2 linked regions of the Astyanax mexicanus genome follow. Each later gene encodes a partner of the first gene's protein in a complex. Links are inferred from orthologs where the notes say so. Each region holds a gene or a part of one and is shown on either strand. Other genes may lie near its edges.

Region 1 (16,344 bases):
GAATTACATTTTTAGGGGAAAAAAAAGCCTGGGGGTCCCTGTGGATATCAAATATAACTAAATGTATTAACATAATAGTTTTATGATTAGCCTGCATATTTAATAATAGATATTTTGCATAATATTACTCAAATAAAACTAATGAAAAAACACTGTTTTAGTAAGTTTACAAAAAACAATATAGCTAGTACAAATATAGACAGACAAATATTCTTCAGTTACACATTCTTGCACGTATTGTAGCTAGGCTACATATTTTGATTCATCAGCCACTTTACTCATGATTTTGGACGTAACCTAGACATGGCGAGTAACATTATATATACAACTAAGTATAAAAAAGCTCTGGTATGCTATTTAGTAATAAACATAAATCTGGTTTGTTGCCTAAGGGGAACACTATTCCATAGAGGGTAAAGCTAGCTAGGAACTATATGTATTATATTTCTATTATATTAAATATATATATTTTGACCATCATTTTGATCATCTAAAGCAGATCATTTTAGGGCAAGGAAGAAACCAAAACATGCAGGAGCTAACCTAACCTAGCAAGAATATCTGCATTGAAAAAAACATTCTTCAACGTTACTTTACATATGAAATATGTGCAAGAATATATTCAAGACCAACTTGACTCATTATTTTGAACGTCAGTTAACATAGCTAACCTAGATATGCCTTTATATTATATGCCTAGATATAACATTATATTATAAATTACGTAAACATATAAAAAACATAGAAAATAAGCTCTGGTAACGTTATGCTCTTTTGTAATAAACCACATAAGTTATTTGGTTTGGACACTTTGAGGGCAACACTATTCCACAGCGTGTAAAGATAGCTGGCTAACTTTAGCTAACTAGCTTAGCATACGTCTGTAGGTGTAGTTGCAGTCAGTATGTAAAGTTACAGCTGAAGACGACCCACTGAACCAATATCACTTACTTTTAGTAGAGCCTCTGCAATATATCAAGCTTCTTTAACCAATCCGACAGTGTGCTGTTATCCTTACTAGATGGGAAAGTGATATAACGTTAAAACTTTAAAACACTGATCCGTGCTCGCTCTGTCTCCCCCAACCCCCTGTTGCCTTCAGACACGACACACAACTTTTCCCGCGAAAGATGAGGACTATTTGCATACCGACATATCATTGGACCAGTGGAATGAATCCACGCCTACTGACCCGATGGCGTAGGCCGTGCGTGTCATAACTACATGCTGACTTGCTGTCCTACTGCCTAAACCTTCTCACTTAAAGCCGTAGAAAGCGGTGAATCTGTAACCGAAACAAAAAAGAAAAATAGCGCTTCCTGCCATACAATATATGATCGTTTATATGTGTTCTCATTAGCTGTTAACCTTAATGCTAAACAAAATAGAAGGCTAAATTACTAAACATCGATTCAGACAAGGATGGGTTCTTTCCTGCCTAACTAGGCAACATGTCATACGTTTCAGATACAACCCAGCGGATATTCTTTTTTTCTGCGGGGTCGACGTGTTTGGTCGTGAGTATCATAAACATCCACCTGTTTTTTTATATTTTAATATGGGTTAGACGAAGGTTTATTTAGTATTTTTGTGTTTATTTAAAGTTTCTACATCTGGAAAAAAGATGTATGAAAATGTATGAGCTCTCTCTCCTTTCAATATTAAATCTTTTTTTAGATGCAGATGATCTAAAATGTCAGTCTGGACATCTCTGATGCACATCAAAACAAAAATCGTGTTTACTTCCGACTGGTTATAGGCAAGAAAAGCAAGGTACCAGCCTGAGAGGGGCATTGTAACAGTAACTAAACTAAACTAAACTAAACTAAACTGAGTCTAGTACATCCTTGCAAATATATGTATCCAAGTGTCCTTTTGGGCATCTCCAAGTGCCATTTTGAGCATCTCCAACTGTCCTTTTGGGCATCTCCAAGTGCCATTTTGAGCATCTCCAACTGTCCTTTTGGGCATCTCCAAGTGTCTTTTTGGGCATCACCAAGTGTCACTTAGGGCATCTCCAAGTGTCCTTTTGAGCATCTCCAAGTGTTCTTTTGGGCATCTCCAAGTGCCATTTTGGGCATCTCCAAGTGTCCTTTTGGGCATCTCCAAGTGTCCTTTTGGGCATCTCCGAGTGTCCCTTTGGGCATCTCCAAGTGTCATTTTGAGCATCTTCAAATGTACCTTTGGGCATCTCCAAGTGCCATCTTGGGCATCTCCAAGTGTCCTTTTGGGCATCTCCAAGTGTCCTTTCGGGCATCTCTGAGTGTCCTCTTGAGCATCTTCAGGTGTCCCTTTGGTCATCTCCAAGTGTCCTTTTTGGTGTCTCCAAGTGCCGTTTTGGGCATCTACAGGTGTCCTTTTTGGCATCTCCAAGTGTCCCCTTGAGCATCTCCAAGTGTCTTTTTGATCATCTCCAAGTGCCATTTTGGGCATCTCCAAGTGTCCTTTTGGGTATCTCCAAGTGTGCCTTTGGGCATCTCCAAGTGTCCTTTTGGGCATCTCCAAGTGTCCTTTTGGGCATCTCCAAGTGTCCTTTCGGGCATCTCTGAGTGTCATTTTGGGCATCTACAGGTGTCATTTTGGGCATCTCCAAGTGTCCCATTGAGCATCTCCAAGTGTCTTTTTGGGCATCTCCAAGTGTCCTTTTGGGCATCTCCAAGTGTCCCTTTGGACATCTCCAAGTGTCCTTTTGGACGTCTCCAAGTGTCATTTTGGGTATCTCCAAATGTCCCTTTGACCATCTCCAAGTGTGCCTTTGAGTATCTCCAAGTGTCCTTTTGGGTATCTCCAAGTACCATTTTGGGAATCTTCAAGTGTCATTTTGGGCATCTTCAAGTGTCATTTTGGCCATCTCCAGGTCTCCCTTTGGGCATCTCCAAGTGTCCTTTTGGGCATCTCCAGGTGTCCCTTTGGGCATCTGCAAGTGTCATTTTTGGCATCTCCAATTATCATTTTGGGCATCTCCAAGTGTCCCTTTGGGCATCTCCAAGTGTCCTTTTGGGTGTCTCCAAGTGTCCTTTTGGGTATCTCCAAGTGCCATTTTGAGCATCTCCAAGTGCCATTTTGAGCATCTCCAAATGTCCCTTTGGGCATCTCCAAGTGTGCCTTTGGGCATCTCCAAGTGTCCTTTCGGGCATCTCTGAGTGTCCTTTTGGGCATCTTCAGGTGTCCCTTTGGTCATCTCCAAGTGTCCTTTTCGGTATCTCCAAGTGTCATTTTGGGCATCTACAGGTGTCCTTTTGGGCATCTCCAAGTGTCCCATTGAGCATCTCCAAGTGTCTTTTTGGGCATCTCCAAGTGTCCCTTTGGGCATCTCCAAGTGTCCCTTTGGACATCTCCAAGTGTCCTTTTGGATGTCTCCAAGTGCCATTTTGGACATCTCCAAGTGCCATTTTGGGCATCTCCAAGTGTCATTTTGGGCATCTCCAAATGTCCCTTTGGCCATCTCCAAGTGTGCCTTTGAGTATCTCCAAGTGTCCTTTTGGGTATCTCCAAGTACCATTTTGGGAATCTTCAAATGTCATTTTGAGCATCTCCAAGTGTCCCTTTGGGCATCTTCAAGTGTCATTTTGGCCATCTCCAGGTCTCCCTTTGGGCATCTCCAAGTGTCCTTTTGGGCATCTCCAGGTGTCCCTTTGGGCATCTGCAAGTGTCATTTTTGGCATCTCCAATTATCATTTTGGGCATCTCCAAGTGTCCCTTTGGGCATCTCCAAGTGTCCTTTTGGGTGTCTCCAAGTGTCCTTTTGGGTATCTCCAAGTGCCATTTTGGGGATCTCCAAGTGTCCCATTGAGCATCTCCAAGTGTCTTTTTGGGCATCTCCAAGTGTTCCTTTGGGCATCTCCAAGTGTCCCTTTGGACATCTCCAAGTGTCCTTTTGGATGTCTCCAAGTGTCATTTTGGGCATCTCCAAATGTCCCTTTGGCCATCTCCAAGTGTGCCTTTGAGTATCTCCAAGTGTCCTTTTGGGTATCTCCAAGTGCCATTTTGGGAATCTCCAGGTGTCCCTTTGGGCATCTTCAAGTGTCCTTTTGGGCAGCTCCAAGTGCCATTTTGGGCTTCTCAAAATGTCCCTTTGGGCATCTCCAAGGGTCCTTTTGGGTATCTTCAAGTGCTCCAAGATCCAAGATCTCCAAGATGATGCAACATTATAGCACAGGAGTTTGGTTGTAGCTACTTTTTTTATCACTTTGTTTACGTGCTTAAATCCCTCGTTTCCAAAACTCTAAAAACAATATATAACTTTTAATACCTGAACCTGAAAGTAGTTATTGCATTATTTCATTTTTATTTTACTATAAATGGACCAATATAAATGTTTTTTTTACAATGAATTTTATTAAAGATTAAGAAGGGAGTTTCTCCCTATGTAAAGTCACTGTTTTGTACGTTTTTTGTTTTGACAGTGATTATGGATAGAAATAATTAACTAAAATAGTTTGTCTATAAATACAATGTAATTTATATAAAACTGATACATCGTAGCATTTAAAAAGCTTATGTAAGACTCTCCACATTAGCAGTTCTGCTTGTTACTGGGGAAGCATGTAGCAACACATTACAACACAAAGAGATGCGCAAAAACATACCAGACACGTAAATGTGCCCGCCGTGCGTAAAAGTGTCCGCCGTGCGTAAAAACGCATCCCGGGCGTAAAAGCGCGCGCCGTGCGTAAACGCGCATTCCGTGCGTAAAAACGCATCGCGTGCGTAAAAACGCATCCCGTGCGTAAAAGTGCGCGCCTATCCCGTGCGTAGAAACGCATCCCGTGCGTAAAAGTACATTTTGTGTATAAAAATTAGCGCTGTGGGCAAACACCCAGGGGAGTGCTCACACTAAAATCCCAACATCTATAAGGAAAACAAACCTGACAACTTCTCAGGTGTCGATTATTAATTTATATATGTATATTATTTATGTTAATCTAATTAATGGATCTGTGCTGTTTAAGGTATTGTAAGAACATTTGAGAATATTTCACTAACACTGCTAAAGAACTCCTGCGCTAGATATTTTTAAAGGGTTTATTTACAAATTCAAAGTTTTTCTAAGACTGACTTGTCCATATGGAATCATATATGGTTATTTTACAGCATCAAACCTATATGTCATAGCATGCTATATATTTCTGCACTTTACAAGGGGACTTTTTCAGATCACATCTGAATTGGGAAATTAACATAACAAATTTCATGAATAAAGCAGACGTGAAATCGACGTATCTGTGACCTAGCAAATTAACATGCCAAATTTCCTGCGTAAAACAGATTATTCAACGACGTATGTGGGGTGCGATCGGTCTCTGGAGCATATCATATTAATAAAACCAATTTATAATCAATTCAAATGAGGTTGATGCATTTAAGATGTTCAGACCTTTACAAAAAGGTCTTAGTATGTATGCTTTCAGGGTAGTTACTGAGGTAGAGGATATATAGTACTTATCATACACAGTTAACAGCAAATATTGAGACCATTTTAGTCATTTGAAACACAATCTGTTAGCGTGTGAAGAGAAAGAAAGAAACTAAAGTAATTCCCTCATTTAACATCCACATTTAGCCGTGGGTTTACTCCACACTCCGTGCTGTAGGTGTCAGTACTCCCCACTATCAGTCCAGCAGCAGGGCGCTTTAGAGGAAGTTCAGTGGGTTGTGTTCCGGCGTGAGCGCGTTTCATTCATCAGTTCTCTGGTGGAAATGGCGAACAGAACAGTGAAAGATGCGAACAGTATACACGGAACTAACCCCCAGTACCTGGTGGAGAAAATTATCCGCACTCGAATCTACGAGTCCAAATACTGGAAGGAAGAGTGTTTCGGTCTCACAGGTGAGGAGAAAACAGCGTTAGTTAGCCGGTCTGGTGTTGTGCTAGTTAGCTGTGTAGCCAGCTAGGTTAGCTTAGCTTCCTAAGCTGTGTTTAGGGTTATCTACCTGCAGCTCGCTACTGTATTAATTATCTGTTCTCTTGGGTAGATTTGGCAGTGAACCTTAATTAACTAACGTTAAACCCTGGACATCTTTCTTTTGTATTCATAAATGCGCGCACTAACGCAAGAAAGCTGACATGCTAATAACATATAGCTAGCGTTAGCCATGTTAGCTAAATTAGCTCTATGTATCTCACTAGTACTTTGAGCTATTTTGCTAATTAGGTTTACTAGGTTAGCATTTTAAGTAACTTAAAGCATTAGTTAGATACATAGGGAGCTAGTTTAGTTAACGCTAGCAATCCAGCTCTGAAAAAAACAAGAGACCGCTTAAAAACGACGAGTTTCTTTAATTTTACCAAACTGAAAACCTCTGAAATATAATCAAGAGAAAGATGGATGATCACAAGCCATCAAACCAAGCTGAACTGCTTAAAGTTTTGCACCAGGAGGCTTAAAGTTATCCAAAAGCAGTGTGTACGACTGGTGGAGGAGAACATGCGAAGATTCTTGAAGATGTTTGAAAGCTCTGCATCTTTTTATTTCAGCCATTTCTCATTTTCTGCAAATAAATGCTCTAAATGACAATATTTTTATTTGAAATTTGGGAGATGGTGTCTATAGCTTATAAAATAAAAAACAATGTTCATTTTACTCAAACATATACCTATACATAGCTAAATCAGAGAAACTGATTCAGAAACTGAAGTGGTCTCTTAATTCTTTTCAGAGCTGTAAATGATAAGCCAGTATGTTGCTAGCTAGCTAACCTGCATAATGTAATTTTTAATGGATATTAGACATGCTACATATCTGTTCTATTTTGGATGTAGGTATTGTTAAATTGTTGACGTTTAGAGCATCAGTAGTTTATTATTTTATGTATATTGAGCTTTGAATTTGTTCTGACTCTGGACTCTAATCTTTTTGTTCCTCATGGTCACTGAATATATCAACTTTAAGCTGAGCTTGTTGTGGACAAAGCAATGGAACTGAAGTTTGTCGGAGGAGTGTATGGCGGAAACATCAAACCCACACCTTTCTTATGTCTGACGCTGAAGATGCTCCAGATTCAGCCTGAGAAGGACATCATTGTAGAATTCATCAAGAACGAAGATTTTAAGTATGCATATCTCACCTATATTTATATTTTATCTATCACTGACCTGTCTCCTGAGTTTTTTCCTTATGTGTTAGGTTGTTCCTAGTATTATTTGAGCTTCCTGGTTTTTGCACATAAAGAATATCTTTACAATTTCTTTATTGGAAACTGTAATGACTTCACAAGCGGTCCTACCAGACTTTTTATGTTTTAAAACTAATTTCAGCATTTGGTTGGCTGAGTGGGGTGTGTTACATTTAGGTAAAAATGAATAGAAGAAAATAAAACAGACACATGTGATTAAATTAATGCCCATCATGCACAAATGCATTTGGTTTAAGCAGAATGTTTATTGTTTAAACTATTGGGTTTTGTGTCTATTAGGAAATAAATACAGCTACTATCATTAGAAAACAGAATATCATAGTCTATGCATGCAAGTGCTGAATGTAATTTTTAATGTTTTGTTCAGATATGTCCGCTTGCTTGGAGCAACGTATATGCGCCTGACTGGCACCTCAGTGGACTGTTATAAGTATTTGGAACCGTTGTACAATGACTACAGAAAAATCAAAACACAGAACCGAAATGGAGGTAAGCAGCACATTGAAACTAATACCGCATTGGTTCATAAATGAGAGTAACTATATATAGTAATTCCTTGTAAACCAAGAAAACCTTCTAACGTACTTTATCTTACTCTGTCTTCCCAGAGTTTGAGATAATGCATGTGGACGAGTTTATAGACGAGCTGCTTCATGCCGAGCGAGTGTGTGATGTCATCCTCCCTAGGCTCCAGGTTTGTTTTCTTTTTGTATATAATTTAGAATATTGTTATATGTGAGCAATTATGCAAATTTGGGTTTAAATCTGTTACCCTTTGTTGTACTGAAATTGAGTTCATCTTTTATAGAAGAGGCAAGTCCTGGAGGAAGCTGAGCTTTTAGATCCGCGTATCAGTGCCCTTGAAGAAGACCTGGATGAGGTGGAGTCCAGTGAAGAAGAAGACGAAGAAGAGGAGAAGGTATTACTCTAACAATACTTATCACAATAATATTATTAACAGAGGGGCAAAAAAAAGTTTGGTAATTTTTTTGACTTCAATTTTTTTTTAATTTATAGCCGGAAAGAGTACAGACACCAGAGCCACACAGACGGAGTTACAGAGATATGGATAGACCTCGCAGATCTCCCTCTCCTCGCTACAGACGAAGCCGATCGCCCAGAAGGTTGGTGTTAAGTGAAGATTAAGAAAGTGCCAGCAAACTAGCTAAATAAGCATCCCTAAAAGAGTAACCCCCCCTGAAATGATCAACATGCTGTGTTATGTTAATGGATATAAAGGAATACATGGTTATACTGGAATTATTTCAATCTGATGGTGTATTTATTGAATGCTTTTGAAAGGTGTGTGTGTGTGTTGAGTGGCTGCCACTAGTCTATATGAAAATTGAAGTGCTACCATACAATTTATTATTGTTCTTTTCTTTTTCTTTTTTTTTTCCCTTTTTTTAAACCCTGAAACAGACGAAGCAGATCCCCCAAGAGACGAAGGTACACATACAGTGCAAATCTGTCTTTCTCATTCTTACTTCTGCATGCATGTTAATCATCTGAACTAAACTATAGCAAACCACAGAACATTATACATCATTCATTCTTTTAATACTGAGATTTAAGTGATTGTTATTCTGTTCGTGTTTGCAGCCCATCACCCAGACGTGAGCGAGAACGGGATCGCCACCGCAGCAAGAGTCCCCGCAGACACCGCAGTCGGTCCAGAGACAGGAGGCACCGCTCCAAATCTCCAGGTACAACACATCAGCTCATATTTATGCTCTTATTAGCTGCTTGTAAGTTTTCAGTTGTGAACCTGATTCAGGTTATTTTAAAGTAAGGAAATAATATTAATCTTTTTATTATTTAATAAATTATGTCTGCTTGGTTTAATTTAGGTCATCACAGAAGCCACAGACATCGCAGTCATTCAAAGTCTCCAGAAAGGTAATTGAATTCTATTAGAAATAATTCTGTAAATGTATTCCTGATCAATATAGATATGAAAATAGATTGTATTTGTTTATTCGTCAAGTCCTTATGTTTGAATGTTTGTCTCTTTAACAGCCGCTCAAAGAAGAGTCACAAGAGGAGTCGAAGAGGAAACGAGTGATTTTTCTACATTTTTTTGTAGATTTTTTTTTATGTAATGCTTGTATGGTAATGTGTATATAAAAAAAAATATGATGTGAATCTTTTTCTCAACTGATTGGAGTCACACAAGTTTTTTGATGCTGTTTATTCTTTTAAGTCATTTTGAGTGGAAATATTTTTCATCCCATCAATTGTAGTTCATTATTAAAGTGTTTCAGCAGCCCTCTTGTAATAAACAGTTTATCTACGTGTAAATTATGAAAAGATTTTACTCAAATAAACTGTTGTTACAGTGACGGTACATGTCCATTTTTTTGTAAATAAAATCAAGTGCTAAATACTGTGCAAATAAGGCTCAAATGGGTCAGTCTGTGAGGTATTAGCCTGACCACGTGACTGGGGTCTCCTTTTTTGCATCATGATAAATACATTTTAACAACACATTTACCATGAAGTAATTTGACTAAAAATTGCAGCCCAAGTTATTTTGATAACATCTGTTTTATTGTGAAATGCATCACTTTTGAGGAATGTTTTCTTAATGATCGTGATTGGAACATAATCCCTTACTTCATTTGTAAAATGTGATGAGTTTTGGAATTTGTACCTTGTAGATCAGAGTTTTACAAACTTGAGAAAGGTAAAATTTGGAAAGTTTTAAAAAGTGGGTCACTAAAGATCATTAGCATGATTTGTCAGAAGTGGCTAACACAATACAATCATTTTATGATTTGAAGGCAACTACTTGGCTAATGTAAAGCTTTAAACCATATACTGCCTTTGTCAGAGCAATACTTTAATGGTAATAAATGTATTCATGAATATTGTCCGTGTTAAGGGGTTGTATTTTATGTTCACACAGGATGTTAAACATGCTTGCTAACATCTCTAAAGAGCACCAGAGAAGAAGGGTTGAGCTTTTTTGCTAAGTGGCAAATCTTAAAATATCAGCCACACAATTTGTCACATGCTAACGAGACAGCACAAGTGTTGCTGTTTGTTGTGCCATCTATTTTAATATGGTCCAACAGACATTATAAGATGTGCAATCTGCTTTAATATGTACAGGTTTGAGTGCTGGGTGAAATGTTATTTGGTATGTTGGCTGTTTTAAGTGCAGACACTCGGCACAAAGGGATCCAACTCATTCTATAAATGCACCTGGAAGACTTCTAGGAAAATAAAGTTTGACCAAGTATATAAATAAAACATTTAAAACTATAAATCTCGATGGTTTCCATATTTAGTTAAATCTATGGCCTCCTCCGTGAAATAGAGGTTCTGATTGGTTCTGCCAGCAAATAACTGAGCAATGTAATCTTCTGGTGTTGGTCCACTGTGTTATATCAAGTCTGAAGTCAGTGCAGTGTTTTTCTGGTAAATCTTACAGAACTTTATTCTTCCAACCTTTCTGAAGATGCAGATTTCATTTTCCAGCAGGATTTGGCCCACTACCCACACTGCCAAAAGTACCAATTAGTCTTATATAATACTCTAATTTTCTGCAGCAATGATCTTGACTGTAAGAAACGCTTAGAATAGATCGCTCTGTGTGTAATACATATGAGTTTCACATTTTTAAGGGAATTACTGAAATAAAGTAACTTTTCAAAGATATTTCTTTTTTTTCAGATGCACTAGTATAGACAAAATACGCATAATCTTTATTTTATAGATTTTGGGGGGTCGATTTTGTTTGCCATATACATGAATTTTACGAGGTATTGTTGTGTTACTTACTTTCTTTTTTTCTTTATTTATTAATTGATTGGGTTTAGATATTTTGCAAAACTGCTGCTAAGAATAAGATAAAGGTCTCATGCCTAAACAATGTTTTTAATATTTTATCTACCAGTTGATCAATGACTCATGTCTGTCAAAGTACTTTATATACAGCTCTCGAAAAAATTAAGACACCACTTCAGTTTCTATGTCAGCTTCTCTGATGTTGCTATTTATAGGTATATATTTGAGTAAAATGAACATTGTTATTTTATTTCATAAACTACAGACAGAATTGTCCACAAATTCCAAATAAAATATTGTCATTCAGAGCATTTATTTGCGGAAAATGAGAAATGGCTGAAATAACTAAAAGATTCAGAGCTTTTAGATGTCAAATAATGCAAGGAAAACAAGTTCATATTTTAACGTTTTAAGAGTTAAGAAATAAACATTTGGCGAAATAACCCTGTTTTTTATTCACAGTTTGTATGCATCTTGGCATGTGCTCCTCCACCAGTCTTACACACTGCTTTTGAATAACTTTGCCACTCTTGGTGCAAAAAATTCAAGCAGTTCTGCTTGGTTTTTATGGATGTGATCATGCAACTTCATCTTGATTATATTGCAGAGGTTTTCAATTTGGTAAAATCAAAGAAACTCATCATTTTTAAGTGGCCTCTTTATTTTTTCAGAGCTGTATTATCTTTTTGTGGTAAGACTTTTATTTTGAAAAATAGCTCATGCGGCAGCCATTAGTAATGGCACAGTTGGTGCCTTCACTCTGATGGACAGAGTCTTCACATGCAGAGAACCGGCTAAACACTGCTAACCTTTAGCGGAACAATGTAAAATAACTCTGTAAATATGGGGGGCATCGACACATAAACACCAGTAACGGTAAGTTGGTTTATTCTGCCGTGAATATCGCGTTTTTACACCTTAAACACAGCCATAAATAAGAGCATGCTGAGTTACTGGAGGGAGGGAGGCTGTTTGGCTGGGTTAGCTGAGAGCTGAGTGAACAGTAAACAGTGTCCTATAGCTCAGCAGGTAATATAACATGTGCTGCAGGTGAGCGTGTTTAACTTTACCTGTGTGTGTGTGTGTGTGTGTTATCTACGTTTGCAATTTTATTTAAATTGACAAGTATTGTCTGGGGTGTGGACAGGAAAATGTAAATGACTGGTGTAAAGTAAAGTTACATGAAAAAGCTGTACACTGTAATAAGACACCTTCTTTCCATTACTAATAAACCCTGCCTCTAAATTATCTCCAGTCCTTTAGTTCACATGTACTGCACAGTCTCTGGTCTCCACATCTAAATGACTTCAGTGCTTTATGTCTTTTTGATTGTGTGTACAGGCAGGCAGCAGTTGTAAGGGATGGACACCTGGACGCCCAACCCACGGGCCAAGCCCTTCATCCCTAGACAGCAGCGTAGTTTCTACCTAACATGGAAATACAAACTTTCCAACAAAAGAGCCATCCGAAGACTCTGCCAGGCGAGTATACACATTTTAGACAGACTCTAAAAAAATCATAGATAGGACAGTTGACCATTCATGGGATTACTGAAGAAACACACAACATTGGGACAGCTTTTGAGCTTAAGATCGTTTATTTTAAATTAATTGCAGGGGTGTTCCTCAGTTGAAAGGGGTCAAAATATTCTGTTATGCATGTCCTAAAATAGTGAAATATGATATAATTCTACATGATAATTAATGTTAAAAGATCAGTATTTATTGTAATACGAAAAAGGTATTTGACTAATGGCAGCAAACTTCACTGGATTGTGTTGTTTGAGGTAGTGAAATAAAGTTGTCATGTGACTTCTTTAATTCCATTTTTTGGCATATTTTGCACAAGACTGTACTCTTTAAAGTATCATCCTTCCAAAGGCCAAAATCTTTCCACACAAACTACCCATGCACATTATTTTTTGGCATTGCACATACAGATATTAACTTGCACAGTGGCTGAGATAGTACATTATAGTAATTTTTACAATATACAGTATGTTGCCTAGCACTGCTATGTAATAAGTGAAACATAAATGGCTTGTTGTCTGAATGTACAGTGTGAACACATTTTTAACTGCTAATGTTACCTTCTGGGTTTTTGTCTTATTTGAGCTCTGTAAGGTAACATAAAGCCATTGATTATGCTTAGCCTTATTGAGTCCAGGGCAGCAGAATATATTATGATGTATGATTTTTTTTGTTTGTTTGTTTTCACAGGCTGGTGCAGTGTTGTTCTTGTTGGTTACAGTACTTGTGAACATAAAACTTATACTTGACACAAGGAGAGCTGCTAGTGAGGACGAAGATGCTGCACGAGACTATGGTAAGATACTAGTGACCAGTAGTGGCAGGTTCTACTGGTCTTTTAGGGTCAGTTAGAGCTTGTTTTCCCCTAACATGCGTTTCATGTGCAAAACAAATAAAATTCAAATCACCAAGAAGACTTATAATATGTTCTGTTTCTCTGTGTCTAAGATGATAACTTGGCCAACATGGAGACCCCACGAAGACCAGCCAGTGGGCGCAAGGTGTTAGACATTGAAGTCTACTCCAGTCGCTCCAAGGTGTATGTGGCAGTTGATGGTACCACAGTGAGTGATACACAGTATTTGAATCCCCTCTGCAGTCATTTTATACCCCCTCCTCTAAACAAGTCTCATGTTGTTTTAATGTGTGTCAATTTGTTCAAGTTACAACTGAAATGTCAAATTTTGCATCATTAGTCAACAGATTGATTGTCGTAAATCACTTTGGTAGTCTTTTAAGGGTCACATCTAGTGATTTAATGTCTCTATGTTTTTGTATTGAACTGGTGTACTGTGTAAAAGTAATTCATTTATGTTTTATTTGTTTTCTGTAGGTATTGGAGGATGAGATGCGGGAGCAGGGAAGAGGCATACATGTCATAGTGCTAAATCAGGCCACTGTAAGTAGAGCTGTGAAGTCTAGAGATTTATATGGCAAATAAATGTCAAACATCTGTGTGCAAAATTATTGTTTTTATACAAGTGCTCTGCACATGTCTGATACAAATGAAAACATATGTTAAAAAATAAAAGGAGCAGCAAGTGATATGTGGAAAAAATACAGCTTACACTATAACCAAAACAAATTAGTCAAATGAGTATTCCATGTACCTATTTGTGTTCCAAACTACACACTCTTTATTGTTTATAATATAATAGAAATGCATGTAAAGTATTCATGTGTTCAGTTTAGTTGTGTTTTCTTAAAAAAAAAAAAAAATGATCCTTTTTTGCAGAAAAAAAATCTTTACATATTTCTGCATCACCACTGGTATTGAGACATATTGACACAGTTTATCCTCTAGACTTCAGTTAAATGACTTTAGTAAATTACAATTTCCTTTGCATCATCAAATTGTTAGAACGTTTGTCAGTGGAGTTTTAGCTAGTGTTCTAAAAATCTGTTTAAAGAGATTTTATGCTATGACATTCTGTCTTGTTTAAACAGGGTCACGTAATGGCGAAGAGAGTATTTGACACCTACTCTCCGCATGAGGATGAAGCCATGATCCTCTTCCTCAACATGGTCACTCGTGGTAGAGTCCTCATTTTCACCATCAAGGTTAAATCACAATCTCTTACTTCAGCACTTTTTAATGTAACGTACACAAATGTAACAATGTCTATTTTACTGACGTTTTGTTGCTGTGTTTATATGTTGTGCTGCTCAGGATGAGGGAACCTTTCATCTGAAGGATGCTGCCAAGAATCTGTTAAAGGGGCTGGGCAGCCAGGTGGCAGCAACTCTCAGTTGGAGGGACATGTGGGCACTGGTTGTGAAGAAAGGAGGTCAGAGTCTTGAATTACTTGATTCTGTTTGTAAGGAGTTAGAATGCCAGATAACATGTACAAATATTTTTTATATTTTTATTTAACAAATAAATGTTAAATGTGTATTTTTTTTTTTTATTGATGTGCGTGTGTCTAGGCCAGGTATATGGGGAGAAGCACTCAAAGTCACCTGCACTCTCTACATGGGGAGATCCTGTACTGCTGAAAACTGAGGTTCAGCTCACTGCTGCTGAAGGTAGAGAATTTCCTGAAGAAACTAATGGTTTTATTTATTGTCTGGTGCTGCTTATTGTGCCTGTAATTTTTGTCACTGTCATGCCAAAACATTGAATCTGACATTTTATAACTTTTCAACATATGCTGACATGCCAAATGTCACAGGACAAGAATAGTATCATGTGCCACGACTTTTGCCATGTCCAATTAAAGCCAAAGTCTCCCTTGTCAGTTTACATAAACAATTCTAGCCAGATGCCACCAATCATGATCATTACCACGCACTGTACTGTCCACTACGGATGGTAATGCCTTTCATTAAGTGTTCTTGGTACACATGTAACACTGGATCAACTTATAAAATGTAAATTAAAAAAAAAATCTAAAACAAATCTTATCTCCCACTAAGCTATCCTTTCTCTGAGGTAACATCCATGACTTTTGACATATCACTTAAATTCTATAAAGTCTTAAAAAATGCATGATTACAGGACCAATAAAAATCCTCCAAAATAATGTAATATAATAATTTTACATTTGACTGTCATTTAAAGTTAGTAAGGTTTTTTTCTCTCCTATCAAGTTACTGTTTTTGAAATTTCTTTTCATTTGCACGACAGTGAAGATTTTTTAATGAAAAGATAAAAAAAATAAGTTCCTGGTTAGTTCACGATGTGATAATTAGAACATTGGCGCTACAACAGCTGGTTAAACATAACTAATAAGACAATGCTCAGCTCTCTAGAGTTTTATTCAAGCAGAACATTTCTGTTGGTCGTTGTGCAGAAGCAGAGTGCCACTGGGCTGAGACGGAGTTGAACCGTAGGAGGAAGCTGTTTTGCAGTAAAGTGGAAGGCTACGGTAGCATCTGCAGCTGCAAGGATCCAGCACCCATAGAGTTCAACCCAGAACCAGTAAGTTTAAATACAAGTACCGGAACTTTCACAATATATAATATGAGTAATGTGTTTATTAATTTTAAATATGTGAAAAGCAACTATTCTGTTTGCTTCTGTCATTTAAAAATATTCAGATGTTAAAATAGAGCATGGGATAAAGTCAACACCTAATTAGCAATCAAGTTTTGATCTGTATTATAATTACCTTTTGTATATTGTCTTTTGTCTAGCTTCCCAACAATAATGTCTACAATGTTCCAGTTGCTGTCATTGCTGGAAACAGACCCAACTATCTCTACAGGTGAGAAAATGTTTGTCTCATTCCCCCGTTGTTGGTGTAAAAAGGCTGATCAAGAAGTAGCACTCTCTGTATGTGTGTCTGCAGAATGCTGCGCTCACTCCTGTCCTCTCATGGTGTGAACCCACAGATGATCACTGTTTTCATTGATGGATATTATGAGGTACCCACTTTCACATTTT
Region 2 (16,382 bases), on another chromosome or scaffold:
CTAGCTTAGCAATTAGCGGACGGTTTATTGCCATATCCTGCAAAACGTCCTTGTAATCATACCTTTATTTTTTTTCTGATTTGGTGCAGCATGCCTAAAATGTGGCTTTACTTTGTTATATTTAGAACAAGCCATTCTATTGAATTAAACATCTAAATATCAATTTTAAATAACTGCAGATAAATATAGACTCTGCTCTCATACATCACATTTCATTTGTTCTTAGCAAAATAGATTTTATTGTCCTGTTTTAATAATAATAATAATAATAACAACAGGGATACTTTTTTAAATGTGTCAAGTAAATACAACAAATATAAATACTTGCTTAGCTTACTTAAGTAGAAATGTTGGTTATCTATACTTTACTAGAGTATTTTTTTCACACCTATTTTATTGCACTGTAGGATCCTGTGGCATGGTCTAAGCTTTTATCCTTATTTCCCCCCCTTATTTTAGCATTTTGTTCCCTTACATTAACTTGTATACTTTTACACTTTAAAGCTTAAGTTGATACTTCAGCTTCTACAGAAGTATTTTTAAACCCCAATATCTATACTTCTACTTGAGTAATGAATGTCAGTACTTTTAAAGCCTTTGCTGCTTTTATTGGAGAAACTGTCTACTCTACTGGGAAGGCTTTCTACTAGATTTTAGAGCATTCAGCAACACAAACACTACAGAGGACAGGAGGCTTGGATGATCACCAAAACCTCCTCCACTAATCAATGTATGAATGGAGCATTATTATTACAGAGAACACAATTCCACCACTCAACAGGGCAATGCATGTGAGACTTTTATACTCCTTTCTGACATAAGGCATGATACAAATAGGTTAATGTGTACCGGCTCCACAGAGTACTATTGTATTGTCTATAGGCTACAGGGACTGGACAAGCTGTGTGCACGCATTTGCACCACAGTGTCAACAATGGGTGCAGCTGAATTCATTTTACTAGAAGCAGAGTTTAAACACCTTTTACAAGCTAAAATTAAAGCACTTTTTAAGAACTTTCAAGGCCCATTTTCAAGTTTTTCCTGCACCTTTCAGCTGTGGTAAATTAATGATGACGGTGATATCTCAACACTGTGATTCAGCGATAATCAATACATTGCAAAAGCAAATCTATTCTCCACACTATGCCACTGAGGAAAAAAATAGTTCTAGGTAAGTAAATAGCAAAAATTATGGATTTATTAATGGCAGTTTTACACAATGTAACTATCAATGTTTTTCACCGCATGTTACCCTTTTCATTTGATTGAGCAGTTACTGTAGTATATCAAATTCTGGGATGAGTTGAGACCATTTATACATACATATACTCAAAATTATTGATTTGCTTTTTGTCACACTGCAAGAGATGCAGTGTATTATGTTTACGTAAATGCAAACAGAATTGTTTGGTAATATCAGAAGGAGAAGAAATTAAAGCCTTTTTCCTTTTACGTTCTGCAATTTTTTCTTTAAGCAAACTTATTTAGTCAGATAATTATTTATTGTATAGTAAATGTAGTCAGAATTTCAAGCATTTTCAAGCACTTTCTCTAAAATTTCAACACTTTCCAGGCCTGGAAAACAGACTGTTAAAATCCAAGCATTTTCCAGGATTTCAAGCACCCGCACGAACCCTGTAGAAGGGGTGTCTACAAACATTTGGACACACTGTATTAGAGCATTCAAGTGTTGTTTTTTTTTTGAGCAGGTAGTTGGTGTCTATACAAAACCACAGCTATTATTAGCTCATTAAAAAGTAAGTAAGTCAGGTGGTAATCAAAGTAGGCCAAACCAAAAAGCACCCACACTTGGAAAGTCTGAGCTTTCATTTTTTTTTCCCCCAGGCCCCACGATTGCTAGTGGAAACTTATGACACTTGAAGTGTCTCACTATTTGGCTTTATTTATGTTTATTCCCAGCAATGCAATCTGAAATTTGCACGTCCCAAAAACTTTTAACTTTCTATGTCATTCGCTATAACAATTTCCACTTCCTGTGAACTCCAGTCGATGCTGAATGTATACTGGTATTGTAGGTGGGTGTACTTAAACTAGATCAGAAAGAAAAGGTCAACTGTCAGAGTCATACAGTTGTTTACAGTTACAGTTGCTTACAGTGTCTTTTATAGTTTCAAAAGAAATGCTGGGTTTAGATTCATGTGTTCAGATCAGGAATTTAACTTAAGGGCACTGAATGAATTGTATCTAAATAAGCACAGTCCTGTGGTTTACCAGTTGTCTTCAGAACCATATAGGTAAACAATAGCGCCATCACATGGTGATAAGAGTGTTATGATAAAAAAAAAATCATCATTAAGAAAGCATTACAGTGTTTTCATCTGATTTACTCTGAATTAACACATTACAAGTCCCCTAAAATGTTAATTTTTACTTTAAAGTTAAATTTTAAACATTTTATACAGATTTATTTAATGTGGGGTGAGGTTTTGCCATGTCCACAGTGCTGCCTGATTAAGTTGAATAACTCATTAAGATTTTTAATAATTTAGACATTTAAATAATGAAAACAGCTTTTTTTGTAAAAAGAAAATCAAGCATTTAAACATTTTCAACAATGCCCTGTCATCTTGGAACAACCACACCACTTTAAGAAAGTACGGTTGTACTGTTTCCGTTTTTAAGGGACTGAAGACTCCTGCTGCACGTTCAACAATTAATAATATGAGTTTTATTTTTTTATTAGCTTAATTAAACCATAACCTCTCCATCCTGTCATGATGGGGTGGAAAAATGCATGCAACTATATAATGAAAATAAAAAGTGATTAAGCTGGAAAAATATAATTTTTCATTAGTCATATAACTATGATAAATAGTCAAAACATTTATTAAAGTGTATTACTTATCAGTGTTGGCTTGTTACTGCAGGTAAAAATTCCAGCCTGTCACTGAATAAGTGATCAACAATAACTCCTTAACCACTCAGCCAAAGCTAATTTATATTAGGTAAATGTAATTTAATTAAATTTAATAGTTTTAGAGCCACAATGAAATGAACAGTTCTGAGAAAGATCATTAAGAGAGGTTTGTTTAGACATCTTAAGTTCTGGAATGAAACTGCAATGCTAAAATAGCTATAAAAATAGCAATAGCTAAAACAATTGAACTGTATGACCTGTTGAAACCTCTTAATGTGCTTAGTATCTTGATTAAATCCAGATAAGAATTTATCAAATTACACTTAAGTTTGGTAAACAAATGACAGAATATGCTCATTTGTTTGTTGCACTGCAATTATTACTGGTGTTTAGATTGTACTCAGAGGTGTTTTGGTTGTAGAATGTGTCTTGGCCTGACTGATGGCTCATTTCGGCTCTGACAAGCTTCTTTTTTCTTATTGGTATATTCTTGGCATAAAAAAAAAAATAACGTTAATATACTGCAGATCTTTAACAGTTAAACTATTTTCGTGGATGGACAGTCACTACTATTTATAAAAAGGCCCTGAAAATGTAAATGCTTGTGTGAAATGTTAATTAAATGAAACAAGGCTGTTTAAAATTTAATTAAAGCACATTTCTTTTAAAATAATATAATACAGTTTATTTGCAAGAACATGTTTGAGTTGGATAAAAAAAACAACAAAAAAAAACACAATACAGCCCTGACACAAAACTTGCCTTTATTCTATGCTTGGGTATTTCTGATGCAACTACACCCTCAATCATCTCTTGCAGATCTGAAAGACAAGTTTGTGTCAATGAAAACACTAATTTTTGTAACACCACATTCCTTTACCCTTCCTTATATTTCAAAATCTACAGAATAAATTGGACAAGTGAGAGGAATTTAAAAAAAATCATATTTACAACAAGCATCAAACTAACAACATTCAACTCAAACTGCTCCACCCGTATTTTAATTCCAAATATGAATCTGTAATAAAACAAGTAACAGGTGGAAAACATTTTGATTAATTGTTGTTTTCGTCTTTGCTCATGGAATTTGTGATAGTTGACATAAAAAAAACCCAATGTAGTCCAGTCAAGGAAGGGTTCTTCCAGTCTGTTGATAGTTGAATAGTTCTCCACTCTGTAAGAACTGTAAAGGCTTAAGCAAGGATATGTATAAGGTGGGAATCAGTGGCTCTTCTTGGAGGACCCAAACCCTGAGAATCCCATTACAGCAGCCATTTCATCATCCTCTTCAAAATTCAGGTCTTCCTCTGCTTTTCTCTTCTTTTCTTTTAGCTTCTCTTTTTTATATGCCTTTGCTTTTTCCTCCTGAATAAATAAATCAAAATATTAACCAAATGTACAAAATACATTTATTGTAGGCAAAGCAAAACATGTTTATAAATCAAATTCTGTACCTCTTCTCGTAATTCCTTCAATCTTTCCTCAAAATCATACTCCTTCTGTTTTTCCTCCATTTTTTTCTTATTTACTTCAAAGCGTTTTTTAACCTGATCCAATGAGGACCGTTCCACTCGCATCGACATTCCAAGGTTTCTCTGGTCTATATTAGTGAGACAAAGTGAGAAAAATGTTTTTATATAATATATACAATTTTTATTTTTACATTTTTCTGAAACAGCAAATCAAAGAAATAAAAAGAAACTCACGTTTCTTGCCATTGATATGATCCAAAAAGTTGATGGAATCTTTCACAACACAATCGCAAACATTGCAGTAGTATCTACATAAAAAAGTATGAAAACACCAATAAGACCAAATATTTCTGTTTAAAATATATTTGCTTCCAGAAAACTAAATTCTACAAAATGAACAAAAAATAAAGATATAATGGCAACATCAGCAGCAGCAGCATCTCCTGACAGTCCCTCACCATGTCATATATAATGTAGAATTATTGTTTAAATTGTCGATTTGGGACAGTTCTGTTTATGCAATATAGTTAAATGTTACCAAATTTACCTTATTCTTCCTAAGGAATAAAGGCCAGCACTTTCCATTTTTTCTCTCTTAGTAAAAATTGACTGATTCTGGATGTTTAATGCAAATTCTTTAAAAGTAGTCTTATTCACATTCAGTTGGAATCGCGGGAATTGCATTAGATACTCACCCGCCCATCTCAGCCTGAGGTGTAGTTTTAGTGATGACAATTGTCTTCCCCAGTTTAGACTCCAGATCAACCTTGTAGTCTCTGTGCCTGAGGAGCTCCCGCTTGACTGGTGGCATAGGTTTGCCTGTAAAAAAACGTTCATAGAGTTTTGTGATGCACAATAACAGAATCATAACAATACTGGCAAATAATTATTTATATAATTATAAATCTGTGCATCAGATTTAATACAATAAAACAAGAGCAAAATTCTTAATTTTGGTATGATATAATTACGATATTGATATGAACAGTATAAAAGCCACCAGCGTTGGTGTACATAATCATGCACTGAGAGACCTGGGTGACATGGCAAATTGTTATATCTGTATTGAAAGACAATCCTATGATATACAGTATTCATCATGTATTGACTCATGGGTAAAAAGCACCAGGAGTGGTAAATTCTTAAAAAATTCTACTCAAATACTCCTTAATACATAGAAAATTACTTTAGACCTACATTAATTATTATAATTGTTGCTGCACATAACATAATTTAAAGGATTTTTTACACTCTCTGTAATGAAATTTACAGTTAGGAAAGGCATATTTAAGTAGTGATGAATCTTCTACTGGCATATTTATCCCCCAGGACTCACAAGGCTGAATCTTTTTTTCCCCGAATCAATCGGTTAATTTCATTCAAACTCCCAAAAGACCCACTTTTGCCATCACTACTGCAAAGTAAACTAGACAGGTTCTAAGGTTAAACAGAGAGGATTTCAATTTAATTTTAATATTTTATTTAGAAACCTGTGGGCTAGCTAAAACACAGCATCTCTTTGGTTTTATAAGGTACATTATAAGATATGAGATAAACAAGGTGGCAAGTAGGGTTAGTGTCTACACATATGAAGTATGCGTAATTGGCATTCCAGAATAAAAACAGCAAGTCCAGTGAGAGAACAATGTAAGTAACTGTACAAGTAGTGCTGGGCGATATGGGAAAAATCATTATCACAATATGAATTTTTTTATATCACAATAACGATATATATTATGATATACTACATTTAAGTATGTTTTCAGTTATTCTTCGAAAAAACTTTATTTCAAAGTGACATTAAAACAAACTTTCACAAACGAGAATTCCTACCTTTTATTGCAGCAATATATATGTATCGAATGAAAACAGATGAGGTAGATGCAGTAGCTAATTCTTTAAAAAGAACAATGCGTCTCCATTGTTCAGCTCTCATGAGTTTAAAAACGTAAAGCATGTCGCAAACCGGTGTCTGTGCATTTCCGTCAAATAACGTAAAGCAGCGTTGTGTCACAAAACCACATTATGAAGCTTTTTTGTGAAGATTACTTTATCACTTATATAAACAGAGTTTATGCAAAGTGACCACGCTAATACATTTCATCGTAGCCTACTTTATATATTTGCATGAATAATTGATGAAATTACTGTAGAAACGATAGAGACGATAGAAGGTAGACACTTTTTTATCGTCCCCACTTTTGGTAAAGTGGCTAAGTGGAACAGCAAAGCGCAATGTGCAGACCTGTACAGACCAGTGAACATACTATCTGGTGCTTACCACTTAGTATCTAGTGCTCACCACACACCAAGTAACACAGCACAGCGCAATGTAGCAGTCTGTGAAGCCATGCACAGACCAGTGAACATACTTCCTAGTGCTCACCATTTTTTATGTAAAGAAAATATGGTATATATATATATATATATATATATATATATATATATATATATATATATATATATATATATATACCATGTCATATCAGGATTTCCAAACAATAGGCAGTGAAAGTGTGAATATAGTACAGTACAGTAGTGCACTATATAAACTATATGAATGTACTCACCATCTTTTTTCTCTCTTTCCTCCGTGAGACGCTTCTGTGCCAGCTGTTCATACTCATCTTTGTCCCACTTGCGCCTAAAATCGTTCTTAGACTACAAAAAAAAAAAGAGATTTGGAGATTATTCGCTAATTAGTTAGGGTAGCCACGGCTAGCTGGGTATCCATAAACAATAAAACACCGTGACAATAACCTGTTGTCTAACATGCCAGCTATATAACGCCTACAACATATATGGTTTAGATATTCAGTTATTGTCAGCAGCTCCTTTAACAGCATTACAGATCTATAACTGTTGTTGGATAAATCATTAAATTTTCACTGAACACTGACAAATGTTTAGTTAGCTTAGCTAGCTAGCTACCTAAGCTAATGGCCACAGGAGCGTGTTTTAGCACGGTAACGTTGTAGTTTATAGTTTATTCAGCCGGCTATGTTACAGTCTATCAATTACAGCATTTACTGAATACATTAAAACAGATATAACCTTGCAGACATTAATATAACTAATAAAAAAAAAAAAACAATATAACTCACCCCACTGCCTGACGCCATGTTGCTGACCAACGAGATCTTCTTCCTGTCTGGAGAAAAACAACAAGGCAAAATAAAAGCTCTGTGGGAACTGTGTGATTAAAGTGAAGGTGAGTTCTGTGTTAATTTGTCTCATTTATTTCAATCTACACAACTTCTCACACACGGTTTGCTGAAAAAGGTAAAATAAATAAATACAATAAAATAAATAAGAATACTATAAACAAGTAACAGGCAAACACCCACCCATTCAGAAAGAACATACAAATCAAATAAGTACAGATGTACAGGAGAATGAAAAACGTGGCTGCATGTTTCCAATTAGTATGCAAAAAGAACACAATATATACAACATAAAATAAAATGTAAAAAAAATGTTAGTTTTTTTCATAGGCATTGACATTTTTTGTGGACAATATACCATCCAAGAAATGATTGTGATAAAGGATAAAAGCAACACTTTTATAGCCTTGTAAGACTATGATTGCAATTAATAATAGTTTGGGAAATAAATTATTTTTTTCTTCACCTACTGCAGTCCACACTGTGTGTATGGAGCCTTAAATACAGTTCAATGCTATATATGTGAACAAACATACAAATAAACATGCCTATTTTCAATATTGTCATTTCAAAAAATTATATTCTTTAAATATGTCAGTAATTATCAAATACGATTTCCATTTAAGTTATGGATATGTGTTACTATTTTGTGCACCGTTTATCTATTTAAAATAAACAACATCCTTACAAAAAAATGCACCAATACAAATTCAGTTCAGGTTATTATAATGGGAATACAAGATACTACTAAACACTGCTACTTAAAGGAGCAGTTTCTTTTGACTTCACAATAGCATGATAAAACAATGTAAGTGGAATACATAATTGGATAAAATATTGTTTAGAAAAACAAAACGTGAATACAACAACATTTGTTTGTGATCAATTATTACAATTAGTACAGACGACTACTTGATGATATGTATAATATGTATAATCCTTCATGTGTATATTAAGTTAAACATTAACAGATATTAATTTTCAGAGCTTCTGCTGGCTATGCTGTCTTTAATACTGTTATGTTAGTAATATTAACCCAGATTGAGCCAGTGCGTTTTTCCAAGAAACATTGGCTTTTAACATATTACCTATTTAATGTGAACAATATTTAGTGTAATCAAATTTGGAATTTTGGTTTTCAAGTAAAATATGGTTAATTTATTATAATTAACTTTTTTAGTACAACTATATTGTGCCTCTATTTTGATGAAAAAAAAAAGTGTTTACTTTAATTTATTTTTCCTTTTGTGGGCTCTAGTCAATATTGTATATGATCCAAACACCGTGCTTGTGCCTGTATTTTTTTTTTTTTTTAACTTTACTTTAAAAGGGGTCAATTTGACCGGCTACGTAACACGTGGGTTAATTGTGTAGCCCCGCCCCTTATCCACCTGATGCTGATTTAAAGGTCTTTCAAACTATGCGGCATACTAGGTGGCAGAGTCAGCATGACAGCACGGATTGAAACTGCACTTCATAGCCCTTTGGAGTCAAGGTCCAGTAGACTTACTTACTTCTGTGTGTTGTTGCTGAGTGTAGAACACTTTGGGATTTAATCTTAATCTGGTTTCCTTTTGTTTAATTTAATTTTAGGGGCCTGTCTCTTCCCTTGTGGCCAAACATTCCAGAGTTACCTCATGATTTGAGGGTCAGACCACCTCTTGAGCCAGGCAGTCCAGAGCCATGGCTTCTCCCAGGTTGCAGCTCGGTGTATGACAGCCTGGTCAGGTAAGAAGGTAAAGATTTAAGCCGTTTGTTTTAAAGAACAAATGAGCACCAAGCACTTTTGTTTTGAACGGACATTGTAATGCTTTGTATTTTGTGGTTAATTATAAAATCTGTTTGTTTTTCTGTATTGCTGTGCATTTGAATAGCTCTAGAACCCCAAGGCCGTCCTCTGTAAGTGAAGAAAGGAATACCACCTCCTCCATCATGTCCAAGCCTCGCAGGTCTTGACTTTATTTATCAGCTCTATAATTAAGAATATTGTGAATTATGTCTTGATTATGCATGGCCTCAGTGCTAATTTTTATTTTTTTTTTCCCTCTTTACAACTCTAAGTAGATCCTCTATTCTTGAGAGGTGCATTCTCAAGATATCTACAGCTAATGTGGCTGTTGGGACAGAGGATCTAGATGATATCAAGAGGTCAGGTGCAGACTTTGAAATGTGCAATTTGTTAGGGTGACTAATATTGTGAAGCCTGTTCTAGGATGTGGATTTCTCTGTGGTTATCAAAGCTAACAAACCTTCTTAGGTCACCGTCAAGACTCCGATGGTGTACTCAAAATATGGACCCATCTCATTTTGAGACCAACGAGTCGGTTTTGAAGCGCAGACAGAAGCAAATTCAGTATGGAAAGAACACCTGTGGCTACCAGAACTATCTGAAGCACGTTCCAAAGTAAGAACAGACCTACAGACCTACATACCTTTTTACTAGCCTTAAGATAATTAGGCTTGTTTTTTTACTTATTACTAGCTTTTTTTTTCTCTGTGCTATAACTTTTAGGCGCCTTCGCATCCCTGGGTTTCACCCTTCCACTCCAAACAAATACCGCAAGTACAGCCGACGGTCTTGGGACATGCAAGTCAGGCTTTGGCGGAGAGCGCTACATGCTTGGGACCCACCTTTGACTTCCCAAGGGAACAATGAAGGACAAGACCCAGTTGATCAACTGTATGTGTAGGACTGGTATTGTATTGTGTGATGTTAAATTTAGATCATAAACATTCTGCAGATGTAGTCTTATGTTTGAAGACTTGTGCTGTGTTCCATTTACCTCAGCTGTTTGAATTGAGAATTACTTGACACCAGATTGGAGCATTCCAGTATGCCATAAAATATTTTAGATAATGTTTCACTATTTAAAAAAAAAAAAAAAAAAAAGTCAGCTATAGCCTTTGGAGTTTACTGCAACTGGTTTGATTTATCATTAACATTGTCCCAGGTTGGCATTGTGCAGTATTTAATTTGAGTACCATGAAATCATGTCTGTAGATAGATGGAATACGGACAGTACAGCAACTGATTTTATGAGACGCTAATGTATAGACTTGGTGATAAACTATTTAATACGACGCTTTTATTACTCTTGACTTGCATTGCAGCCATCTTGGATTATGAATTCTTGGTTAGTGGGGTTCTCTGAACACTTCTAATAAATAAATCTGATCTGTGAACATTTCCTAATTGGATCTAGCTAATTCTTCTTTGGTTCAAATGGAATACAGCATAAGACCTTTTTAAGGAGTTTTAAGGTTAACCTGTTGCATGCTAATTCTCTTAGGCAGGACCTGCTTGAGAAAATGAATACTGAGCTGGGAGAAGAAAAGGAAAGGACGTTGGATGTATCTGACTCAAGTGCTTCTGTACTTTCTCAACCTACTGAAGGCTTAGGCAATGGCTTCTGGAAGCCTCTTGCTCCTCAAGTAAGTAGAACAGAAAAGTTGATTTATTGTGTTTGTATGAATAGGGTGTCCTGATGCATGTTCTTATTTACCTACAGGCTGATTTAACAGGCCAGCAAAGCCAGACTTCTGGACTGGGCTATTCCTTTAATAGTCATCTAACTGCTGAGGAGAATGTCCTTGGATGGCTGCGATTTCTCTTGGAGACTGACCATGCACGCAGCGAAGTTGCCCCGGAGAGTGAACAGCCACTTTGGCGATTTTACTGATTGTACCATGATGTCTTGTGTAGACCATGTGTAAAGCTTGTTTTCCAGGAATAAATAATGACCCAGGAATGGCGTCTAAGATATGATCAAACATGTACTTGGATCTTAATGTTGAACACTGAGCACGCTGATGGTAGTTTTGCATCAAAACCCCTGTAATTCAGATCACTTAACTGTTGAAACCACTAAAATTTGCACTTTTCTTTTTTTCACTACTTGCTCGTGTTTTGTTCCTTCACTGGATATTCCCTCACTAGTATAGACACTTCTTTTCCTAAAGGCACTTTTTTTGCTGTTTTGATTTTGTGAGTTTTCCTCGTCTCCCTGTTTCACTGTAGTCAGGTTGTTTGGGGGAAGATTGTTAGCCTTGTTTTGAAATTTGAGTATTTTTGTATGACTTTAAAAGTAGTGGAAAGCAAAACCAATAAAGATATGTTAAATGTTTGCCTTGGTAATTCATAAAGTCAAGAGGGCCAAGGGGTGGGGGAGCAACCATTGGTACACAAAAGTTTAAAAGGTGAAAAACTAGCAGTAGTGTCCTTCAGTGTTTTCAGTTTGACAGACGATAGTCAAATTAACTTTATTTAGCACTTTCTACAAGCCCTTTTTTTCCCTTTTAATCTATTTACATTGTACTAAAATTAATTTTCAATGGGCATATATACGGCTGAAACAGGGACCCTGGTGCATCCTAAATGTATCAAAATTAACATTTTAACATAACATATATAGCCATTATTTTTTTTAGAAAAGTGTGTTAATATAGGACCCTGTGGCACGGCCTAAGCTTTTGTCCTTAATGGCATTTATTTCCCACTGGACTGTGTTTTTGCAGTGTAGATTCAAAGCCCCAACCACTGTCAAACATTTAAATATAAATCAATAAAAATGTCATCAATGTTACAGTTTAACCCCTTCACAGGCCAGGATTTTTGCCAATTGTCTGCCTGACATTACAACACTAAATATTGAGGATTTCTATTCAAGCGTCACATGAAAAACGTTTATGTTTGATAAGGAACATTATTGAAAAACATAATTGTAATTGAAAATATTTAAGTAAATCTGCTAATGTCAAAATATAATAAATAAAATCATAAAGTTGTCTCTTTCCTGAACTTTATTTTAAATTCAATATTTTACTAAAAATGCAAATCGAACAGTTTGTCCTTCAAACCTTTAGTTTCATTATGGTTGTCTAGTTTGTACATCTATTTTTAAATCTGCAGATAATAAGATTTATTTATTACACTTATAAATGAAGCCTGTAGGCATGTTAAGGGGTTAAACACTAACCAATGAAAATTAGGCTGTGTTAAATAAAAGATTGTTTAAAGGTTGTCTTTTCCCATCAAAAAGCTAATGTAATGCAACGAAAAAAAATATATTTTAACGTTAAATCAATGTTCTCTCTCTTGCTTGTTATCAGTGTACTGTCTGTGGTGGTGGTGCTGCTGCTGCTACCTGATAGAGGAACACTAGAGGGCGTGGACGGGGGTCTGCATGGTGTGTTTCGGCGGGGGCGGGGGGGCTGGAGGCTCTGCAGATGGAAGCCACTGGATTTCTACGGGCGTTCTTATTTTCCTAGTGGGAGACGATGGGAAGGCGGTGAAATGTCGAATTTATAGCAGATATTCGTGTTGTGTTAGATCGCTCCTCACACTCCGCTCGCGGGGGTGGTTCGCGTCGGCGTGCGGCGGGTCTTCAACGTTGATTTAACGGTATGCTGGTGTTAGGTGTAGAGAACGGGGATTGACAATAGCTAACGTTACGCCATGGGTACCCTGGACGGGTAGCCCGCTAGTTCGCTAGCTAGCTGGCTAGCGTAGCTAGTTGTTGGTCTGAATTGTTTGATCTTGTGCAGCTAGGCAATGGTAGACCAACGTTAGCTGGCTAGCAACTTGCTAGGTTAGCTAGTTAGCTAACAGCTAGGCTCCACGGGCCCTGTGTGTGAGACGGCTGTGCTGGTCTCCGTCGGCGGCGAGGTAAGTCAGAATCGTTAAATGTCCTCCATGTCTTCAGCTGTATATGTATATGTATGTGTGTTATTGTGTGGCTAAAATATCAATCAATTATTATCAGAATTACACACGCCAGGCTGTTCAATCAGCCCTATTAAGATAATCGATCGTGTGGTAGATAAGTTAGATATTTATTTATCGTGCACGGTGTTTTTGCATTGTAAAATGTATTGCTTTGCATTATTGGCCTCAACTGGTTAAGCTAAGCTACGCTAGTCTATCCAAGCCGTCGCTGTATGTCCTGATTTAGCTAGGGTTGCAGGCGTTAGTGGGCCTGTGCTGCTTTCTAGGTAGCCAAGCACCCAGCCAACATAACGTTAGCTAATAATGCTCATCACGGGCTAGGTTATGGCTAGGATGTCTTTCTCGGCTAGCTGGATAGCCTTCCATTGATATGATGCTATTTTGAGGAACACCAGTTCATCCATCGTCAGTAAACCTAGGGTAGCTAGCTAGCTAGCTAACTAAATAGACACAGTATAGCTAACCTAACTAGCTTGATAATTAGTGTTGTCTATTTTGATAAGCTAGCTAGCTATGTATCGTTAACGTTAGCTAACGCTAGCTATATTTATCCTCATACGCAGACACTCATTAAGAATCTACGGTAGCTAGCGTTAGCTATTTAGCTAGCTTCAGTTGTGTGCTCTGTGACGGACCGAGCGACTAGCTTGGTGTTCCGTCGTTTTGTGCCATCCCGTTAAAACGTGCTAGTTAATTAATTACTGTTGTTATATATTTTTTATCTAACTAGCTAGCTATTTTAAAGCTTAAGTTCTAAAAAACGCTAACCTGGTTAGTTATTTGTATTATCTGGCTTATATGGCGAAAGCATCGTATCAGAATATCAAAAATGCTCCTAGATAACGTTATCTTATCATTAGGATTTTTGGGTGGCCCAATTCACTAGCCAACCTAACCTAACGCTATATCAGGGGAGCTTACGCTAATTGATATGATAGTTAAATTGTGTTTTTGTATTTTTTAATCGTCATTTCTACGTTTGTAACACTTGAGCCAATAATATTAGTAAGCTGCAATTGTTAAATGCCGACGAGAAAAAAAGGAATTCACATGAAAAACACGTGAAAACATTAAAAATATGAAGGAGGGGGGGGGGGCACAAATCGACAGAACACCGGCCGGTGTTCTGTCGATTTGTGTTACCCGTCAATTTGTGCTACGCAGCGTCTCTGCGCATGCGCTGAACAACGGCACTTAAATGTTAACGTTTTTTTTTATATATACTGATTGTGTTTTCCGCGGGCGCATTATATAATCTGAGTTTATTGTTGTACGGTTATTATTTGCTTTAATGTTACGAAAGTGTAAATGGCATTTCAAGTAAAAATAAATAAATAAAAATACAAAATACCTCACTTGGTTTATATTTATCTTTCCTTATCTTTACTGCTGTAGGCCAGTCAGATATCCTGCCTGCTGTTTTATTTAGGTAGCTTTTTCTATATTTATATATTTAACGAGGTAGCACAAATCGACAAAACACTGGACGGCCAGAGGGACTTGGTTGGATTTGTGGTCTGCTACTATTTAGCAGCTTAACTAACGCATAATGTTATTTTCCAGTAGGAATTCTTAGCTTTTTAGCTATGTCTAGTCATTTGCATATATAATATATAAGAATTTGGCTGCTGCTCTTTTGCCATTTAGCTAACTAAAACCAGAACACAGGTTTGCCCCATACTCTTAAAAAAAAAAAAAACACATAACCTGGCTAACAGATGTAGCTGGCTAGCTACTAAAGCCTGGGGTAGTAAATAATGTTTTAAAGCCAGATTTTTTTAAACTAAATGTCTGTAGAGAGCCTGGTGTTCATGCCATACAAGATAAATGTCATGCAGGATGCTATTTTACTTTTGATGTCACTTTTTATTTATTTATTTTTAATATTATTATTGTATTTTTTTTTATATACACTTATCTTCACTACTGTTTTATAACTGTCCCTTATAAGCAGCAGGAGTCCTGTATCTAGATATGCAGGCTGATGGTTTGCTCATGTTCTATGTAAATTAATGATATAAATAAGCCTAAGGATAAGAATTGTGCATAAGCCAAATGCCTTTAAAACGCTAACCAAGACGTTTCTTTCTATTGTGTCCTCCTCAGGTAATGAAGTCATCATGTTGGCCAGAGCTGCTCTGCCTGGGGAGCCTGTGCTACCTGTAATTCCCTCGGCTGGTTGACTGCTTCACTTTAGACCTTCCCGCCTGCCAAGCCATGGTTATGCTAGATGTTGAGCCGATCCCTAGTCTTGACGTTAACCTCAGCCACTGGACATCGCTCTGGTAAAGCTTGGTTTAGTATTTACTGTTTTTTGATTTCTTTAATCCAAAAGTACACAGAATTCATTCAAACCAATCCTGTTCACTCATGTCTCTGCAATGTCTCTCTTTCAGCCACTGCATGATCCTCACAGCCTCTCTGAAAACTGCTGGCCCACAGTTCAGATGGATTGATGCCTGGTAAGTATTCAGGTATCCAATTATGTGTCTAGAAGCAAGATTTGAAGACTGTAGCAAAATATTAATAAAAAACTTTCAGTAGTCCAGTAAAATCAATGTCATATTATACATACATACAGTTTAGGAAAATCCAAACCTACAAAGAATGGAGTAGTCATTCTTATCATAGGAACACTTCAACTGTGAGAGACAGAAAAAAATATAATGTATAATGTATGTATAATATAAGGGGAAAAATGTATTTTAACCCTTTGGAATTTCAGATCCTCCTCCAAGTCAAGAGTATTAACAAATATTATGTGCTTAAAAAGATACAATAATAACCATAAAAAAACTTTATAGTGCTAGTTGGAAAAGTATGGAAGTTCTTGTATTAATTACCTAAAAAAAGCTAATTAGAATCAAGTAATACACTCTTGCTAGTTTGGGGATGTGGACTTAAGCTTATTTGACTGTTTAAATCCATGATATGCCAAAAGACCTTTGGAGGATCTAAAACAGCTACAAGATGATTTCAAAGATCTTTAGAAATTCACCAGTCTACAATGAGGCAAATAATCTACGAATAGAGACAATTTGGGACCGTGGGTACTTTGCCAAGACGTAAGTGCCCAGTTAAAATCACCCCAAGAGCACAAAATACTTATCAATGAGGTAAAGAAACAACACTGAAAGACAGTT

Evidence for each region.
Region 2: prpf38a (region 1) and zmat2 share a complex: the UniProt entries of both Homo sapiens proteins name them as parts of the spliceosome B complex. The link is inferred for Astyanax mexicanus from reciprocal best matches to the Homo sapiens genes PRPF38A and ZMAT2.

The regions. Positions count from the first base shown.
Region 1 is NC_064412.1:22,005,553-22,021,896, forward strand, and holds prpf38a (pre-mRNA-splicing factor 38A), read left to right. Parts: upstream 1-5,643; 5' UTR 5,644-5,700; coding exon 5,701-5,830; intron 5,831-6,893; coding exon 6,894-7,053; intron 7,054-7,504; coding exon 7,505-7,626; intron 7,627-7,745; coding exon 7,746-7,831; intron 7,832-7,945; coding exon 7,946-8,056; intron 8,057-8,154; coding exon 8,155-8,261; intron 8,262-8,559; coding exon 8,560-8,586; intron 8,587-8,739; coding exon 8,740-8,843; intron 8,844-8,987; coding exon 8,988-9,036; intron 9,037-9,156; coding exon 9,157-9,202; 3' UTR 9,203-9,479; downstream 9,480-16,344. Other genes in the region: pomgnt1 (protein O-linked-mannose beta-1,2-N-acetylglucosaminyltransferase 1), read left to right, coding at 12,291-12,410, 13,149-13,254, 13,407-13,522, 13,792-13,857, 14,406-14,519, 14,629-14,746, 14,886-14,984, 15,752-15,879 and 2 more. UniProt on the Homo sapiens protein: Involved in pre-mRNA splicing as a component of the spliceosome.
Region 2 is NC_064424.1:10,754,478-10,770,859, forward strand, and holds zmat2 (zinc finger matrin-type protein 2), read right to left. Parts: upstream 7,557-16,382; 5' UTR 7,473-7,556; coding exon 7,455-7,472; intron 7,012-7,454; coding exon 6,921-7,011; intron 5,170-6,920; coding exon 5,046-5,169; intron 4,659-5,045; coding exon 4,585-4,658; intron 4,479-4,584; coding exon 4,333-4,478; intron 4,244-4,332; coding exon 4,100-4,243; 3' UTR 3,511-4,099; downstream 1-3,510. Other genes in the region: slbp2 (stem-loop binding protein 2), read left to right, coding at 8,963-9,009, 9,108-9,242, 9,389-9,463, 9,576-9,662, 9,772-9,918, 10,027-10,194, 10,805-10,946, 11,024-11,194; protein FAM53C, read left to right, coding at 15,695-15,701. UniProt on the Homo sapiens protein: Involved in pre-mRNA splicing as a component of the spliceosome.